Oryctolagus cuniculus: one gene and its partner. The protein of the gene in region 2 interacts with the protein of the main gene of each other region in a pairwise test. Links are inferred from orthologs where the notes say so. Each region holds a gene or a part of one and is shown on either strand. Other genes may lie near its edges.

The links. The genes of interacting proteins can lie anywhere in the genome.
Region 1: the proteins of TRIM42 (region 2) and KLHL38 interact in binary tests that used the Homo sapiens proteins (3 or more experiments, as listed by UniProt). The two-hybrid records come from large-scale screens. The link is inferred for Oryctolagus cuniculus from reciprocal best matches to the Homo sapiens genes TRIM42 and KLHL38.

Annotation. Positions count from the first base shown.
Region 1 is NC_091437.1:149,368,240-149,371,376, forward strand, and holds the end of KLHL38 (kelch-like protein 38), read right to left. Parts: intron 2,705-3,137; coding exon 2,599-2,704; intron 1,647-2,598; coding exon 1,348-1,646; 3' UTR 525-1,347; downstream 1-524.
Region 2 is NC_091435.1:141,105,165-141,109,331, reverse strand, and holds the start of TRIM42 (tripartite motif-containing protein 42), read left to right. Parts: upstream 1-1,272; 5' UTR 1,273-1,461; coding exon 1,462-1,802; intron 1,803-4,167.

The DNA of each region.
Region 1 (3,137 bases), on a different chromosome or scaffold from region 2:
GGGAGGCAGGCAGCATTGTGGGGGCCACTCTGGGCGGCAAGACCCATGCCACGTGCTGCTGTCCATGGGCAAGGACTTGGCCTACACTGCTGGGCATGGCCAAGGCGGGATGGGAGTGGTACCAGCGAGGAAGGTTCTCAGTGCCCCAGCTGACCAGGATGGTGACTCTACCCTGATGGCACATTACCATCATCTGGGGAAGCAGTCCCAAAATGCAGAGTCCTGGGCCCCACCTGTGAGACTCCCCATGCATCTGTTTGCAGGGGAGCTTGGCCCCCTGTTCAAACCTCTTTCCAGGTGATGGTACCTGTGGGTAGTGCTGACTCCCCAGTTTGGGAGGGGCTTGAGGGGAAAGGGGGCTCTGGGGACAGTCAGGGCTGGCGCCTGGAGGGCAATGCTTGCTGCAATTTCTGAGGAATCTGTTCGCTTTCCCCTGAAGAGCAATTCTCATAACATTTACCAAAATGAAAATCCTGATTAATTCTGCAGGTTTATGGTTCCCCAGAGGCTGGAGGAAAACATCGTTTGGCACCAGAAGCAATCTTTATTCTGGCAGGGCAGGACTGCTTTCTAAACACTAGATTCTCAATGTTCAGTGCACGTTTCCTGGCATTGCAAGGTAGTCCATCCACAGAACGTGGCGAGATACAGCCACGGCCATTTCTCACGCTGCCACCTGTCCTAAGCGCTCCCAGGGATCCTTAGCAGTGGAGCCCTGGGCAGATACGTTTCTTGTTAGCCCAGAATTTCTTGGTTTGGGGAACTGCTGCTATCCCATTACCTGCAGTTCAGATGGGCCGTTATCCACAACAGTTCACACATCTCTGCCCAGGGGGATGTGGTCCGGGACCCATCTTACAGTGGGAAAATAACTGGCCACAGTGTTGGCTCCAGAGGTAGGGATGGGGTTCAGAAAGGGCCCGTCGGCATTATTTGTTTATTTTTTGTGACTATGTGGGTAAGGGTCAAGTTTGCTCCTGAAGATGCAAAGCTACAGCACGTCAATCTGGATTTCCCAGGGGTCGTTGTCCGCACACTGTGTGGGTGAAGATGCTTGTTAGAGACTGAAGCCTAATGGAGAGAAGGTGGGGAGGCAGAGACAAAGAGGCAGAGACAAAGAGGCAGAGAGAGGGGAAGGCAGAGACAGGCTCAGAGAGAGAGAAATAGAGGCAGAAGGAGAGGAGGCAGACTAAGGAAGAAGCGGGGCCCAGGCGAGGTGTGTGTCTGTGGCATCAGTATGTGTGGGTCCGGGGCTCCAGGTCTAGTCCTGTGGACTCTCCCTGAATCCCTGTAGGGCGAAGCCCTGTGGAGCTGGGTTTCTGTCCCTTGCGACAGGAAGCATCTTGACTAAGACAGGAGGCTTCTGGAGGCTGTGTGGGGCAGGCACTGCAGAGTGAGGCAGGCGTGGTCAAAGAGTGTGTGAGGCAGCTGTCCCTGGGACGTCCACGTGTCTGTTTCGGGATCGTAGCAGTCAAAGGAGGCGGAGTCCTCGATGTTGCAGTCGCTGGTCAGCCGCCGCCCGCCCGTCACGTACAGCTTGTTCCCCATCACCGTGGCCCCGTGGTGCATCCTCCGGTCTTTCATGTCCGCGCATTTGGCGAATTTGTTAGACTGAGGGTCATAAGCAAGAATCCTCCTTGTGTAGCCTGAAAACGCAACGGCGCACGGGCAGTTCAGTGTTGCTCGTCTGGGCTGGGAGGTTAGCTGGTCCCTTCTACTTCCCAGTCCCCTCCACATCCAACTGGGATGCAGCCAGCTCCCTCCCCTGCCCTGCCCTGAGGCTGCGGCAATCCTCAGCTACAGCGTGGGCCGCTGAGCTACGCTGCCATGGCGTGGTATGTGGCAAAGCTGGGGTTGGGGCCCAGATCTGGCTGAGCCTGGCTCCTGCATCCTTCACCCCAAGTTAAGGCCACATATCAACCACCTTTAGATTAGGAGCGACCTCTCAGTTCTAGTAGCTTTCTCAGCCTCACTGGTTTTTCTCCCTCTCATACTCCTGTCCAAAAGCTGGAACAACCCAGAGGAAGAAGTCTTCCTTTTGGAAATCAGAAATAGGTGGCCACAGTAGCCCTATCTGGTGGGTACTTAGAGGACCCCCATTTTACTGATGGCAAACTGAGGCAAAGAAAGCCTAGTAACGTGCCAAAGAGCATATAGCCAGTTAGTGGAAGAGTCAGGAATTGAACCCAGATCTATCTGATGCCAAAACCAGTCCTTTAAACCACAGCACTGTGTTGCAGTTACAGAGAAATCCAGTAGTAGTCAGTGTTATTGATCCTGATAGCCAACGGTACCAGTGTGTTCGTAGCCAGTATTATTAGTATTGGTAGCTGATGTTACAGATCTGTCAGTGGCCAGTGTTAGCAACAACAGCAGATAGTTTTCTGTTGCTGTGTGTCTGCGGTATGCTAAGAGCTCGAGCCACAGCAGTATGCTTTATTGTCATAACTCTAGGAAGTAGGCATGACTTTGTCCCTTCTGTACAGAAAGACAGGGAGATGGTTCTGGGTAAGGAGAGGGCTTTCTCGGGTTGGCTGTGCACCTGTCTGTCAGAGAGCCATTGTCCCAGGAGTCGCCCGGCTGTCTGTTCACACTCACCTCCCACAATGACGATCCGCTCCCCCAGCACCACTGCCGGGGCACACACGTTCTTGATCATCCTGGTCTCCATTTTGAACCACGTGTTTCTGGAAATGTGATAAACCTGTGGGAGAAATAGATCCAGGGAACTGCATTCAAAAGCACATTTTGGGGTGTAAAATGCATACATTTTCATGGGGTAGAGTGCAAAATTGCAACCCATATATGTATAGAGCCAGCCGATCAAACAAGGCAATTAGCCTTTTCATTTCCCTGCCTTCATGTCTGGAACCTGCCAGCTCCTCTCTTAGTTCTTTCTACAGGATACAATGTATCATTGTGAACCCATGCACCCCACTGTGTGGTGGGACCTGTGACTTTTTACTTCTGTTGGAAGGTTTGAAAAATACAGAAGGAGTAATTAAGAAGGTGAACAAGGAGTGAGTTTTTTCTTTCCAGTTAAGCCATAGCTATTAGTATTACTGAATATTAATAGATAGGAGAAAGAAGATTATTAGAAATCAGTCTGCACGAGACACCAAGGGCTTAGTGGTTGC
Region 2 (4,167 bases):
TGATTATACTGAAAACTATTCAATTGTTCATGGTAAATTTAATGGTAAGTGAATTGTAATGTCAATAACAATTTCTAAAAAGAGGGGACTTCACAGAGACCAGTAATGAAAATATACCATGAACCCAAGAATGGCATTTGGACCTCTGGGCCTGGAGCCTAGGGAGAAAGGCAGATAAAATTGAGTTTGAGCAAATGTGTGGGAAAGATGTCTCTCATCCATTACTGGTGTCAGTATGAACTGGCACATTTATTTGAGTAGGCAATTTAGTGGCATCTATCAAAAAAGATAAAGCACATACCCTATGATCCAGCCCTCTCATTTCTAGAAACTTAAAATCGGTGTGTGGCTGGCACCATTAGCACTCAGTAAACGTTCTTTCCTATTATGAAGACGATCATCATGGGGAGAGATCATGGATTATGCAATCGGCTCGAGCAGCCAAACTCAGCCTTCAGTTCTTTTTGGAAAAGTAATACTGCAGCCTTCATACCGTCATGCGGCGTGGTCATGAACACTTTGCTCTTTTAACCTTTGCAAGCTGCATCAAGTGGAAACGAAATTCACCCCATTAGGGTCTTGTTTCCAGGTATCTGGAGCACACTGCTAGCACAAAAGTATAAAGCTCATGTAGCATTATAACTTCTTGATTAACAGGACCTAGAGGACTGATAGTAGGGTGGGGGAAAGGAAGTAAAGCCTAAGACTTGGTCAAACCCCTTGAAGCTGCAGAATTGGCAAAAAACATTCGGAGGTTTCTGCGAAGCCTCATGAAACAGACCAGTCATTATGCAGTGATGGGCAAGAGCAATGACTTTCAAAAGAAGCTCCTGAAGGAAGCGGTGTCTTCTGCTCCTTTAGTTCTTTCCACAAATGGTGACACCTCCTTCCGTGCTGTCCTCCTTGTTGCTATTTGTAAACACTGTAAGGAGTTCTATCATGCAGGAAAAACCCAGGAGAGGAAAATTATGTCCATCTACTTTTCCAATTAGTCATGCCAGGCTTCTCAGTCTGGGAAGACATTCCCTGAAATCAGCTTGCCCAAACTACGGGCAAACACCAAGCAAGAAGAAATAGCTTCTGAAATCTACCCCACAACCAGGAAGGGGACCAAGGACAGCTCCCCTGGAGCTGGTCCGACGGAGGCATGAGGGGAGTATCCATCAACTCACCTGCTAACCACTCCAGGCTTCACCTGCCAGCTCCACAGCGTGGTGAGACACTGCAAGGACCCAGTGATTGTGACATCAGCAAATGGCCTCATGCACGTGCTAACCCATGAGCTTCCTGGCAGGGACACCACTGGTGAGAGCCTCCTAACAGCCAACTTCTTGCAACTCTCAGGCTGACGGCCTCACTGGGTTGGGGGAGGAGGGACACCTCCACTGAGAACTGGCAGCAGGATTCTGGTAGAGGAGACACCAAGAGCCACGGTGGGGACGTGGTAATCATGTAGGGGCCATGGAGACTGCTATGTGCGTTTGCTCGCCATGTTGTACATGGCAAAGATGTTGTCCTCAGCTATGCTCCTGTCTGTGCTGCAAGTTCATCTTCACCTCGGAGAGGAACTGCACCTGCTTCCCCTGCCCATACAAGGATGAGCGGAACTGCCAGTTCTGCCACTGCACCTGCTCCGATAACCCCAACTGCCACTGGTGCTGCTGCTCCTGGGCCAATGATCCCAACTGCAAATGCTGCTGCACGACCAGCAGCAATCTCAAGTGCTACTACTATGAGAGCCGCTGCTGTCGCAATGCCACCATCACCTTCCGCAAGGGCCGTCTCAAGAGCATCCGCACCTCGTAAGTGAAAACTGGGAACTCAGTGCCAGCTGGGGGCCCACAGGGTGGGCTGGTAACCCCTGGGTTCATTTCTCTCTGTGGGAAAAGGAAGCCAGGAATTTTGTAGCAATTGAGTATATCCTCATATACTAACCATGTAGCAATTAAGTATATCCTAGTATACTAACCAGTATAGACTCTAACTTCCAAATTGAAAATCCATAAGGTGTGAATGCTTACAGCACTCTTCTGAACCACAACTCTCTCATGGGTGCAAAGTACTCAGAGCCAATACTCAGTGCTTAAGCAACTTGCCAGGCACTGCATGGGAGACCCTGGGGAACCCTCCTCTCCCTGAGCCCACTGGACCCAGCAACAGAGCCTTTGAGAGGTGAAGCCACCTGGGTTGACACAGCTAGCATGATGCAGAGTCAGGATTTGAACCCAGAAGCCATTATTTTAAATTTCAAGTGTTGTGTTGCAAAATGGAGAGGCCCTGTGAGGACTGATGTGAAATTCATGGACAGTAGAGTTCAGACATAAGTTGATTTGGGTGCAAAGTTGTTCATGATCCGCATTTTCCATGAATTTGTTGAGGGCTCTTTGCATGTGCTTTGTAACCTGATAGGTGACATAAAAATATAAATCGCTCTTCCCCCTGCTACTGTGAACTCTTGATATATGCAATGTTTCTTGGAAAAGTAAGAATTTCCAAGGACCAGTTTTGAGCCTGATGACCTGTATTCACCTGAGTGCCCCAGACACATCTGAACTCCCGTTGGCCTCCTCGACTTTCCCATGGAGAAGTCATGGTGCTTTGGGCCTCCAGGTGCTCACTGGGGGCATTAGTCATCCCCACTAAGCACTGTATAACCTCTTCCTACTCTACCGAGTCAGTCTTCTTCTGTCCCTGTGAGAGGAGCCTGGTAAGGACAGACTTACTCAGCACTGTGAGATGAGTGGACTAGGAGAGGCTGAACAATAGGAAGCAAGTCTGAAGGCCTTCAAGGCTGCATCAGCAATTCTACCAACAAAGGTTTGGTGGACTCAGGGCAAGAATGTAAGATCCATCTTGAGATTAGGTGCTTGGTAGGGGCGTAGGAAACATGAGTTTCCGTGCACGGCCCTCTCTGGTGCTTGCGGGAATCCAGGGACTCTAGTGGCAAGTCCAGAGGTTCCAAGGTGTGGAAAGCAGTGGCCACACCCCTCTCTCTGGACACGCCCGTTCTCCAAGCACCAGCCACGGAGAGCCACAGAGCCCATTCCAGGAGGGATGAAACTGCTGCTTTGGGAAAGTGGCTTTGGCATCAGTGGTTCCCAAATTTCTATGCATTTGCAATCATGCAGGGATCTTTAAAAATACCTAAGCCTGGTCCACTGCCTCCCCAAAACTCTGAATGTTATTGGCCTGGGGTACCACCTGGGCATCAGAATTGTATAAGGCCCATCCTGTTCAGGTGATTCCAATGTGCAGAATGGCCTGCGGGAGCAGGAAGGGAAGCTAGGAGACTTGCCAGGAGAGACAGTGAGAATCCAGGGGCAAGGGGACCAGGCCTGAACTGGGGAGAGTGAGGAGAAAGGACCAGAGGCAGATAGTTTAGCAGGAAGACCAGGCTGCTGGGCCTGGCAGCTGGGCATGGATCCCTGGCTACTGAACACCTTGTCCACACCTGAGGCTTCTGCAGGCTGGGCAGGGATGCACTTGACAGCTTCAGGAGGCATTGTGCCTGTCTTCTCCCTGGCCCCTCCCCTGGGTCCTGAAGCCCTGCCTCCCTGCTGCTCATCACCGCCTCCTGCTGAGCAGTTACAGCCACTCACCTCTCTCTGCTCTCGCCTGTCCCGCTCAGCCATACTCATTTCCTCACCTCCATTCCTACCGCTGCCACAGCTCCCTAGGCCATTGACACCTGTCTCTGAACCCTGTGCTCATTCTCTCTCCCTTCCCCCCCACCTCCCTCCATCTCCCTGATTTCTTTGGCTGACACCTGTCATAGTACGCCCTGGTTCTCAGAGTCCCATTTTTTTTAAATCAAACTCAAGAAGTCCATCCAGCCTCCATGTGTTATCCTTTACCACTCTTGATGACTCCAGGCAGGAGGCTAGGATGGCACAGTGGAACCAGCTGAGAACATCAAGGCTGGTGGGCTACAGCCCAGCATCCAAACCCTGAGAGGTGGGCCTTCCAGGCACCCGAGGGTGACTCCATCCCTGTGTGCCCAGGAGGCCCCTCTGAGAGCCTGGACTCTGAGGCCCAGGACCCCACCCAAGGGAGTGGGGATGGAGACAGGGCCATGCTCCTACAGGGAAAGCAGAAAGTCAAAAGCAGATGGAAACAGCCTCGAGGTCAGGACCAACATCCGAACATTCCTAATGCGAGCAGAGGAGA